Oryctolagus cuniculus: one gene and its partners. The protein of the gene in region 2 purifies or fractionates together with the protein of the main gene of each other region. This does not show direct contact. Links are inferred from orthologs where the notes say so. Each region holds a gene or a part of one and is shown on either strand. Other genes may lie near its edges. The genes, in order: APBA2, CLSTN1 and KLC1.

Region 1 (3,639 bases), on a different chromosome or scaffold from region 2:
CCCTGGGGCAGCAGAATCCTACCTGCTCTTGGGGCCACTTCGGCCTCTCCTCTGGGGTCCTAGTCTTGTTCTTGAAGCCTCTCTGGGGGTCCCCGGAGAGCTTGGCCTCAGGAGGGAGGTTCAGCGACTTGGGCCTCGCCTCGTGCCTGTTGGGGCCACGGCCGGCCTCGCCAGGCGGGCAGGCCTCCGTGGAGTCCCCGGGCCCTGGCTCCGGTGCGTGCTCCGGGCTGGCCTCACTGGCACTGGCAATGCTGGTCATGCTCAGGCTCATCTTGATCTCAGCCACGATCTGGTCGATGTCCTCCTCCTGGTCCTCCAGGTCCCCGTCCCCACGGCGCAGGCGGTAAGGGGAGGCGCCGCCCGCGTTGCCGTTGGCCTCTGTGGGGTAGTAGTCCTGGTAGCCCTCCTTGCCGGGACAATAGAGGCCGGCGTCCTCCTGGTCGTGGGCCTCCAGGACAGAGGGCTCGTCCTCCGGGATGGACAGGTGGCCATCAGGGTAGCCCTGGCTGCCTTCGGCCCCGTGGCCCAGGGCGTGCGGGCCGGCCGAGTCCGTCCACTCCTCCACCGCCTCCTGGCACTCGTCCGTGTCCACGGGCGGAGCACTGTGGGCCAGGTACTCCTCGCCGTTGCAGTCCATACCCTCCAGGTAGCTGTCGTCCTCAGGGCAGTAGCGGATGTAGTAGGTGACGCCCTCCTCCTCCTCCGGGAGGCCCTCGTCATAGTCCTCCTCCTCCGAGGTGTTGTTCACGTACTCGGAGCTCGAGTCCCCGTCGGGGCTGTGGCTGTGGCACTCCTGCTCCTCAGGCTGCAGCGCAGCCACCTCCAGGCCCTTGGGCTCATAGCCTTCCAGGGGCAGCTCCGTGTCCTCAACCTCCGGCTCCTGGCTGTGGGGGACGGGGCCCGGCCTGGCCCTGTGGTCCAACATGCTGCTGGCGGTGCTCTGGCGCTTCCGGTGGGCCATGGCGGACGCTCACGCGGCCATCATCCCCTGGAGGCAGCCACTGTGGGGAGGAGAGGCACAGAGAGCAGAGTCAGACCCCAGGAAGCACCGTCAACCCCAGCAGCACACGGCCGCTTCCCCCGCTGGCCACCAGCTTTGCGTGGAGCCGCACGTGAGCAACACTGCTGCAGCCTGGGCCTCCCCACGCCATCAGACTCGCCGGCCAGAACGAGGTGTGCTGGTGCCAGGGAGAGCGGGGGGCAGGCAGACAAGGCTGGCCACGCACCAGCACGCCTGCGTCTGCCCCGGAACCCACCGGCTCCCTCCTGACTCCTGCCCTCGATGCCCCAGACAGAGGGTCCCACAGTCAGGCCATTTGCTCTGAAAGAGACAAAGCAGCATTCAGGCAGAAGGCGCAGTGAAGACCCACGAGGAGGGGCCCCAAATCCCCCAGGTGACACCCGTGCTCCATGACACGGGTATGGGCACGTGGAGGTGCCACATGACACCCCCAGTGTGTACAATCATCACGTGACGACTTTAAAAAAATTAAATAGATAAAGTGCAGTAAGGAGGTGGACAGGAAGGCTACTGTCTATATTTTCCATCTTCAAGCACTGTTCAGACTTTGTATCTTACGGGATCTATTACTTTCATAATGAATTTTAAAGACAGTTGGATAGTAAGTCACGATAACCAAGTCTGCCCCCAACAGGCCTGTCCCACCCCGCCCCCCTCCTCACCCCAAACCCAGCAGCGCTCACCAGGGCCCTGAATGTGCAGGAGGTGACCTGGCAGAGCCCCCAGGACAGCAGCTCAGCTCGGGCTTGGGAGGAGGCTGCTGCCTGGCCCAGGGGAGGAGATGGGCCTGTGGGCATGGCCCCAGCTTGCAGCGCAGGCCTCACGGCACCCAGGGGTCCAGAAAAGACCTTGTGGATGCAGGACTCTGTACGCAGGGTCACTGGGTAGAAGAGCTGGAGGAAGGGGACCATTCTCTCAAGGGGAGCAAGCAGCCGGGGCAAGCAAGGGCGCAGCAGGTGCTGGGAGGTTGGCTTCGTGCTCCATTTCTCCAGCTGCATGGCTACTCAGATGCTTGCCATACTCTCTAAATCACACCTTCACGTTACACATACTTATGCATTTTTAAGCCTTGTTCTAGAAATCTCATTGAGAAATAAGAGCTTGAAGCTGGCACCATGGCATAGTGAGCGAAGCCTCCACCTGTGACGCCAGCATCTCATATAGGCATCAGTTCAAGTCCTGGCTGCTCCACTTCTGATCCAGCTCTCTGCTATGGCCTGGGAAAGCAGTGGAAGATGACCCAAGTGCTTGGGCCCCTGCACCCATGTGGGAGACTCAGAGGAAGCTCCTGGCTCCTGATCAGCTCAGCTCTGGCCATTGTGGCCATTTGGGGAATGAACCAGTGGATGGAAGACCTCACTCTGTCTCTCTTGCTCTCACTCTCTCATTCTGCCCTGAAATAGAGAGAGAGAGAGAGAGAGAAGGAAGGAAGAACGGACTGACGGATGGACTTAACAATGCTTATGACCCCACATTTACATTTTGGGTTATGTCTATTTTACTACAATTTTTAAACATCAGAATTAAAAGAGACACAGGTGCTTAGCAGGGAGGAGGAATGAGAAACAGCAGCTCAGTGAGTACTGGGGTGGCAGCGGGCACGGGGGTGGACAGGAGTGATCCTGCCATGGTCACTGCCCAGACGCCAGGCCCACCTCACTGTACATCCTCTTCCTGGCACCCTCTCCCCAGGGAGCTCATAAACCACAAAGTTTTGCGTCCTGTGTCCCGCAGAGCACCCAGCACAGCCCCAGTCACAGCCCACCCCGAGACGGGCATGGTCACACCACGAGCACCCCCAGAACAGCTGAGAAGGGGACAATTCTTCCATGCAGCCCGGGCACGCGGTGTGAGCACAGTGACTGACGGAGCCACCTGCTTCCAGTGCGTGAGTTAAAGGGCACGGACGCTGCCTGTCCACGCAGCTTGTGCTAGAACTCGGAGAGCCTCGCGGCGTGTGCCCAGAGTGGCCCACGACGTTGCACATCCCACGCCAGGAAGGACCCTGCAGGCTCTGAATGACCCGAAACCCTGAAACTGGCAGGATGATTCCAAAGAGCCGTTCCCAGCTCCATGCTCCAGATTCTCATGGGAGGGGCCATCTTCCCTGGAAGCAAGCAAATCTGGACACTAGCTGGAATCCTTCATTCTTTACATTCACATATTCACCCCGACTGAGAGGCGTACAATATAAGGTATGGAGTAGCTTACCTTTCCCCCAAATAGTTGGCCCAGTGGTTTTTACACTTTGCTGCCTATTAAATAGGCTAAAGCCCAGGGCATACCTCATGCCAATAAAACTAGAAAGCTCCAGGTGGGAGCCAGGCATCGGTGGGTATAAAGATGGCCCAGGCGACTCCGACGGGCAGCAAAGTGTAGACATCACTAGTTTCCTGGATATCCCGCTACCCTGCAAAGAACAGACTGAGAGCCCCGCGTCCCAGGATGGCTGGTCAGAGACTAAACTCGCCCATAAACCTGGCACTGTTTCCAGAAGTTCTAGTCCATCTCACTTCTTCCTGCCCAGAAGCGGTGCCTCACTCTGTCAAGGACTGGATGCTGAAGTAGGTGGTAACACGCGGAAGGCAACGCTCGCCTCCTCACGCCCATCTTCAGCC
Region 2 (3,329 bases):
GCCTGAGGACGCCAGGGGCCGCTCCACCCGGCCTGCCCCCCGCACCGCTGCCTCCACCGACGCTCTCCACGGCAGTGTCCTCAGACCCTGGGGGCCCCGGAGCCCCGTGTCCCTGCTGCTGGCTCCTCTCGCGGGGGCGCTGTACTCACCTCCACCTTAAATTCATTGCTCATGTAGCGGCCGTTCAGCTCCGAGCAGATGAGCTTGAACTTCCGGTCAAGCAAGGACCTGGTGTGCCAGTTCCGATAGCGCAGGAGGTGCAGGACCTCCTCGTAGCTGGCCATGGCGTCCACGCCTGCAGGGAGGAAGCGAGAAGCCTGCTGGCAGCTTCAACCAGGGGCCCGGGCAGGGCCAGGACCCGGGCAGGGCCGAGTGCACACCCCGGGGGGGGGGGGAACACCTTCCCTGTGGGAGGCCCCGCCCAGCCCCTCACCTGTGAAGACCACGCCCAGGTCGGAGTGGCTCACTTCAATGCCCTTCTGCTGCAGGCGGGCGACGTCCACCTCCAGGCTTTCCTGCTCCGGGTTCAGCTCCTCCCCCTCCACCGTGACCTCACAGGTGTCCAGGTCGTGCACTATCTCCTCCGACACCAAGGACTCTTGAACTGCAAAAGCGGCCCAACCAGAAGTGACCGCGGCTGTGAGGCCCGGCGTTGGCAGCGACCCCCACGGCTCCGTTAAGGCCCCGTGGCGGATGTCAGGGAGTCGCGTTCACCACCTGCGGGTCCCTAAGGACCCCCACCAAGAACAGCGGGGCCTCTGGCCTCGGGGGCCGACAGCCTCGAGCCACACACCTCGGAGAGCCAGACAAAGAAGAAAGGGCCCTCTCTGCGTGGGTTTTCACAGGGAACGACCCCCAGCCCCCAGATCAATCCTGGAACTGACCGAGGAACCACAATACAGTGAGAAAATACCCCCAGAGCCCGCACACAGAAAGTGCCCTGCAGGCGAGGGATGGCAGGAGGGTGTGGGGGGGTCTCACCTGTGGGGTCCTCGGCCCCGTCCCCCTCGGGCTCCACCTCCCGCGTGATGGTGCTGACGATCCGGAGCTCGGGGAAGAGGGAGACACCTTCCGCACTTTCAAACTCCGAAGCTGCGCGGGCAAAGTGGTGGACGCCGCTCAGGCTGATCTTGGGCTCCTCGGGCTGCAGAACCATCACGTAGCCGTCCACGGGGGGCAGCGAGATGCAGGCGGCCTCATTAAAGCACCTGCCGGCGGGAAAGGAAGGGTGACGGGTTCCGGGAGCCCACGCACAGCAGCCGCAGAGGCAGCGTCCACACACACGGCATGGCACGGGCGGCAGCCCCCAGCATGGCGGGCACACCGCGCCTCTCGCTCACGCCCTTCCTCTGGGGGGGGGGCTGCTGGGTTGTCTCCAAGACTCACACCCACGCCGCCTCCTCCCACGCAGCACCACGGGGGACCTACTTGACGGAGCTGGTGAGGGTGAGCCTCCGGACGCCGGGCGTGGGGAACTGCCGCGAGTTCACGTAGGACACGTGCTGCAGGGCCTTCTCCAGCTCCCCGACGTCGTCCCCCGCCACGGTCAGCACGGACTGGCCGGGGTTTGCTTGGATCTGAAGTCACCGCCGACGGAGAGAGAGGAGAACGGGTTCTAGGTGCAAGGAGCTGACACCCGATGGCCCCGGCAAAGGGGACGGCTTGGGATGGATCCGCTCGGGGACCCGCGGAGGCAGCGCTCACCCGGCGCCAGCGGTGGCGTGCGCGGCGCAGACACGGCCCTCGCCGCCCCCTCCCGCAGCCCAGCGCTACCTGCACGCCGCGGCCGCTGTCTTCGGGCAGCTGCAGCTCCAGCCCCTCTTTGCAGGTGTACAGGCAGTCGATCACCTTCTTGTCCGCGAGCTTCCCGGAACGGATCGTTAGGCCGGCCAGGTTTCCTCGGAAAAACTGAGTCATGCGCAGGTCACCCCCTGTGGAGCAGGGGAGAAGAGGGGGCGTGAGCGAGCGCCGGGCAGCGTCTCCGGGCACGGTTACTGGCGGTGCAGCTCGGTGGATGGACATGCAGGTTAGTTCACGCCAAACCCTGTTAGCCTTGCGATCTACATGGGAGGCGATGTGGACGGTGAGTCATGGATGATCATGCATGTGGCCTGCAGAAATGAGGGGCTGGGGTCCCCGACCGGGAGCCAGCGGCGCCAGCAGAGTGCCCACGCGCCCAGCCATGCCCCGGTGCAGCCGGCCTTGCCGGTGCCCCCCACCCTGCCAGCACTGCCGCGTCCCCCCAGGGACATGCCCTGGGGACACTCGCATGGGGGTGGCTGGGCAGGCGGCGACGCCGAGCGCCGTCCCTCCATTGAGGCACCCCTGCCTGCCCCGGAGGTGTGATGGGAAAACAAGACGCAGACACAGATGAGACAGAACCCCGCTTCAATCAGGACACGACATCCGGAAACGGGTCTCCCTGTCCCTGCGGTTCAACCACACAAGACAGAGGCGAGGGGCCGTGTGCGGTGGGATCAGGCAGGACCCATGAGCGCGCGGCACGGGTGAGTCATCTGCCCTCACTGGGCTGGGCTGGGGTGGGCAGCAGAGGCAAACCCCACGAAGCGATGGGGAAGCGCGATGCAGGGACGCAGCCCGAAGGGGCCTGGCCCCGAGCGACCGCGGCGTTTCATGCGACATGTGGGATGAGTCCCGTCTATCTTGGAATGGAACACGGTGGCGGACTGTAGGGAACAAAAATCCAGCAACCTGCAGAGGCCAAAGTCACGGGCTCAGTGTCAGTGTCATTTTCAACTCCTGAATACTCTGTGGAGAAGCAAGACAGAGACAAGAGGACGACCAGGCGGTTAGGGCTGCAAACAGGACCGGGCGGCCGGACGGGAGGCGGAGAGAGGTCCCCCCCGCCGCTGCCACCGCTGCGGACACGAGCTGGGGCTTGGTCACCGTGTCCCAGACGCCACCCCCTGCACTGCTTCCCGCGCCCTCCTGGCCAAATCACAGGTCACACTCAAACAAGGCAAGAGCACACATCGGGTCCACCGACCTCCAGCGGGCTGCTGGGCAGGACGCTCCGGGAAGGCCGCGCCCCACAGCCGGGCGCCAGGCGGGCATCGTTCCGCCTCGGACGTGGGGGAGCACACGGAGGGCCCCGGGCCCGGGTATGGGACACACATCAAAGCTCCTGCTGTCACCTTGAGACTGCTGCACCTTAGGGCAGGCGAGCCCCAGCTGCCTCTTCTGATCTCGGGAGCTGTACTGACAAGACTCCCCCGTGGGTTCTACGAGAATCCTCTATGCTCAGGCCCCACGGTGCCATGGTCTGCAGAAGGCCAGCCTGTCGCCCCCACGATCTGGGAGTCTACAAA
Region 3 (4,333 bases), on a different chromosome or scaffold from region 2:
CAGCTCCATCCACGCCTCCCACACATCTGCTGCCTTCCCAGGATGCATCAGCAGGAACTGGACGCCCGAGCGGAGCTTCACTCACAGCCCGCACAACCGCCCTACCGGCTGCTTTCAATCTGCACCGCAACTCAGCCGGAAGTCCCGTTCATCCTTTAAAAGTGGAGGCAGTACGCCAGGGACACTCAAAGCAGACCAAGTCCCTCCATCTGCCTCCAAAAGTCAGTTAAGGCGAAGTAAACTGTAACTCCCTGTTGACCCGAGACGGGGAGCAGAATGACACAGCAGGGCTGCAGGAGACAGCCAGCCTCCTGGGGAATTCTAAGGGAACCTGAGTCATTAGCAACTGCCACCACCTAACCCAGCTGAGCTCTCCTCAGCCCTTCCGGCCGCCTAGCCACTCTGAACGCGACCCCTTCCCCTTCCCCTGGCTCCCAAGGGCCTCTCCACACGGCTGGACGTCGGGACGCCACTGGCCTCTCACAGCAGGATACAGCCTCTCCAGTCCCGACCTCCAGCCCACCTGTGTCCGGACCCCTCCCAACCGCCGACTGGGCCGCCTGGGGTCCCACAAGCGCCTGGGATCTAAGGCATCCAAAACCAAACTTGCTTCCGTCCTGTTCCCATTGCCCGTCTTGGTGGGAAGTGAGCCGCGCAAGCCAGAGAGGAGGAAGCCGCTGGAGACGCAGGCCTTCAGCATGGATGAGGCGCGCGGCACTGCCGCTGAGCGGGCCGACAGAACCCGCCCTGCGGCCGCCACCAGGTGACGGTGTTTAGACAGAGGGAGGCTGGGGGGGTCGGGCGGGGCAGGTGCCCTGGAGGCCCCCGAGCCTGGGCACAAGAGGCGGCAGAGGAGGTGGGGTGCTGGGGGACACTGGGCAACCTCGGCGGAGGGCCGCGCCATCTGCCCGGGGTTCTCACGGGGCTGCTCGGCCTGCACCCCAGGGCAGGTCACTGTGACCCCTGCAATCCTCGCTAATCCGGCCGCCCCCACCCGGCTCCCGGGCCAGCTGCCCCCGCACAGCCGCTGGGCTCAGCCGCGGAGCGTCTCCCCACCACTGCCATGAGGAGTCGGGGTGCTGCCCAGGCCAGGCGGCCTGCTGCTGGTGGACACCGCCGCCGGGGGCTGCCCGTCGGCGCAGCACCTGCTCCGTCCAGCTTGCACAATCCTCACTGCCCGGCACCTGCTCTGTGGAGGCGCTGACCGCTTCCTCACCGCGAAGCGCCGGCCTGACACCCACCCACCCACTGAGGACGCTGCCAGCCTGCGCCACGCCTGCGTTTCATTCAGCTCTGCCCTGTCCTGCCTCGTCTATTCTCCAGCCCTCACGGAGAGTGACAGGGCCTTCCCTCTCCAGTGCGACGAAGCACCGCAAGAACGTAAAATCTGAACCGCAGCTTCTGTCGCCGGGCGCCCCTGCCCCTGGGGGCCCTCGGCCCTCGGCCCTGCAGGGGCTGCGGCCAGGCGCCCCGGCCTCCCCGCCCCGCCGGCTGCCAGGCGCGGCTGCACCGGGAGGCTGCGCTACCCACACCCACACCCACACCCACACCCAATTCCACACCACCCGAGACGCCGAGTCCGCGCGGCCGTGCATTCTCACAAGCCCCGGCCCTCCGCCCACCGGGCCGAGCGCTCCGCCTGCGCCTCCGGTGCCCGCACCTCAAAGGGCGTCGTCCTCCCAGCCCACCCGCCCGGACGCCGGCTCCGCCCGCTCTGCCGGTCCACACCGACGGCGGGGCCGGCTCCCCCGTCAGGCCCGCCGCGGCGCTCCGAGGGGCTGACAGCGCTCGCCGGGGCGGTGCCGGGCGGGCGGGGGCGGAAGGCAGCGCCGGCTCGGACAAAGCGCCGGCCGCGCCGCCCCCGCCCGCGGGCTCGGACCCCGCCGGGGATGCGGGGCGGGGCCGGGAGGCAGGGCCGGGGATGCGCGGCCGGCGCGCGGCGACCCGACCCTGCGGGGCCCCGGGCGCGGCCGGGCCGGGCCGGGCCGGGCCGGGCACTCACCGTCCCGCTCGCCGCCGTGCGCTCTCGCGCTGTCAGCTCGGGGAGCGGCCTCGGCCGCCTCAGGCGCGGGTCACGGGGAAGGGGCGCCGGCGCAGCGGCCGCCACGCATCCCCGGCCCGGCGCTGGGCTCTGCACCGCCGGCGCCGCCCGACGCCTCCCTCCTCGCAGCTTCGCCCCGGCCGCGCGCTCCGCCGCCGCCGCCGCCGCCGCCGCCGCCGAAAATGGCGACTCCGCGTCGCGCCCGCCCACAATGCCGCGCGCCCGCGTGACGTCACTCGCGCCTCCCCGGGAGCGGCCGCGGGCGGGGGTCGGGGGCCGCGCGCCGGCTCCGTGCGCCCCCGAGCGCGCCCCGAGGCGCTCACGCCCCCCGGCGCGGACGCCGCCCCGCCCGCCCCCCGGGTGCGGGCCGGGCCCGCAGGGCGGTGCCCGCGGCCGCCGCATCCCCGCTGCGGCCTGACTCAGCAGCCGGCCGAGGGCGCCGCTGACTCAGGGGCCGGCGCGGGGCCGCGCCCTCGGCGCTGTGGTCGGCCCGCGCCCGAGCCGGTGCGGCCCCGCGCGCGGGGGTCACGGCGGCCGGGCGTCCCCCTGCTCGCGCCCTGCGCCCCGGCTCGGCACCCCCCGAGGACCCCCGGCGGCCCCGCACCGCTCCCTGGGTACCTCTGACCCATGCCAGTGCCCCCGCGGCTCCCTCCGTCACTGAGGGTTAGGGCGAGGCCACGCCGACGGGCAGCACCGGCAAGGTCCCCGGGCAGAGACAGTCCTCCGGCAGGAGGGACCCGGCGGCGCCGGGCAGGGGAGAGGCGGACGCGTCCGTGGCGCCCACCGCTCCCGCGTCCTGACTGCCGTCAGGTTCAGACTCCTCAGCTTGGCCTGCAGGGCCCCAGGACCGGGGCTGCCACCCTCCCCTGCCCCTGGGTTCGCTCCGCTGTCCATGCTATCCACTCTGCCTAAAATGCCCCTCTCCCCCAGCCACTCCGAGACTCAGCCACGAGGCACCTCCTCCAGGAAGCCTTCCCCGCCTGCACCAGCCTCCCGTGCTCTGTGTGGTCAGCCTAGGGCACTGGGGCAGGGAGGGCCTGCGTCCCCTCAGCCCCTGACCCGGCTCTCCTTGGCCTCACCCCTCCCCTCGCGGGGAATGAGGAAGGGTCGGTTCTCAGATCACCGTGCAGCCACAGGAGCCCCGTCGCCTCACGGCGTCGGGACTGCACACTCGGTCACCACCCGTCGGGTCTGCAGCCGGGTTACAGCAGACCGTCAGCTCCGCCAGTCCTGCTGCCAAAGGTTTTCCCCAGCCTGCACGGGGAAGGGGCGTGGGAGGCAAGTGCACGGTCCCTTCTCAAAGGTACCGCATCCAGGCAGGGCAGGCTCCCCGCAGATCCTGGGCCGGCCGGGCTCTCGGTCCGCGTCCGCCCCAGGGGGTGCTGGCTGCTGCTTGAGGCCAGGCTGGTGCTGCACAGTATCTCTGACGCTGACCCATCCCTCGGACAGCAGGTGCGGCCACACCCGCTCACACACAGCAGGCGCGGCCACACCCGCAGGGCTCACACACGAGACGGGTGTTAGCGCGGCAAGGCTGGCTCCTGGCGGGGACAGGGGCTGACCTGGGACAGCAAACGGCCGGCTTCTGAGACAGGAGAAACCCAGAGGGCGGGAGACGGCTGGGAAGGGCGTGGGCCGTGAACCTGTGGGTGCTCGGCCAATGAGAGGGGAGGGCGGGACTTGTGCACCAGGTGTGTGTGAACCTGTGGGTGCTCGGCCAATGAGGAGAGGGGGGAGGGACTTGCGCACCAGGTGTGTGTGAACCTGTGAGTCCTCGGCCAATGAGGTGAGGGGGGAGGGACTTGTGCATCAGGGTGTGTGAACTTTTCAATCCTCGGCCAGTGAGGAGAGGGGGGAGGGACTTGTGTGCAGGTGTGTGTGCCTCGTTCCCTGTTCTGAGTGTGCTGTCCCCAGACACCCGCCCTTGCCAGGCTGTGAACAGAGCCTGGCTTTTCTCTGACCTGTGTGTCAGAGTCCATCCTTCCAGGCCGGGTGGTCTCTGGTGGGCTTATTTCCCACCCCCGTGAGTCTGATTTCCGTCAAGATCCTCAGGAGTTCTGCTCAGCCCTGGAGCCATCAGCAGGCAGCCTGGGCCCCCGGGGCGCTGCCCTGGATCAAAATGTGGGTGCTGTGCCCCACGCCCTGAGCACCCGGCAGCTCCAGCGGGGACCTCAGGAAGCCCACCTGGCGGCGGCACCAGGGCGCGGCGGTCTCCAGGTCATCCTGTCCTGGGGTTTCACTCCGAGATGCTGAGTCCCCTCTGGTCCTGTGCTGCCCACACCTGTCCCTGAC

Evidence for each region.
Region 1: the proteins of CLSTN1 (region 2) and APBA2 purify together in Homo sapiens (affinity purification with western blotting; 3 studies listed by BioGRID and IntAct, with this or other methods). This does not show direct contact. The link is inferred for Oryctolagus cuniculus from reciprocal best matches to the Homo sapiens genes CLSTN1 and APBA2.
Region 3: the proteins of CLSTN1 (region 2) and KLC1 purify together in Homo sapiens (co-immunoprecipitation; 3 studies listed by BioGRID and IntAct, with this or other methods). This does not show direct contact. The link is inferred for Oryctolagus cuniculus from reciprocal best matches to the Homo sapiens genes CLSTN1 and KLC1.

The regions. Positions count from the first base shown.
Region 1 is NC_091443.1:11,725,848-11,729,486, forward strand, and holds part of APBA2 (amyloid-beta A4 precursor protein-binding family A member 2), read right to left. Parts: intron 1,002-3,639; 5' UTR 962-1,001; coding exon 23-961; intron 1-22. UniProt on the Homo sapiens protein: Putative function in synaptic vesicle exocytosis by binding to STXBP1, an essential component of the synaptic vesicle exocytotic machinery. May modulate processing of the amyloid-beta precursor protein (APP) and hence formation of APP-beta.
Region 2 is NC_091438.1:158,404,310-158,407,638, reverse strand, and holds part of CLSTN1 (calsyntenin-1), read right to left. Parts: intron 2,770-3,329; coding exon 2,713-2,769; intron 1,932-2,712; coding exon 1,774-1,931; intron 1,578-1,773; coding exon 1,429-1,577; intron 1,209-1,428; coding exon 982-1,208; intron 605-981; coding exon 434-604; intron 296-433; coding exon 150-295; intron 1-149. UniProt on the Homo sapiens protein: Postsynaptic adhesion molecule that binds to presynaptic neurexins to mediate both excitatory and inhibitory synapse formation.
Region 3 is NC_091451.1:46,419,540-46,423,872, reverse strand, and holds the start of KLC1 (kinesin light chain 1), read right to left. Parts: upstream 2,870-4,333; 5' UTR 2,671-2,869; coding exon 2,660-2,670; intron 2,220-2,659; exon of another isoform or gene 2,003-2,219; intron 1-2,002. UniProt on the Homo sapiens protein: Kinesin is a microtubule-associated force-producing protein that may play a role in organelle transport. The light chain may function in coupling of cargo to the heavy chain or in the modulation of its ATPase activity.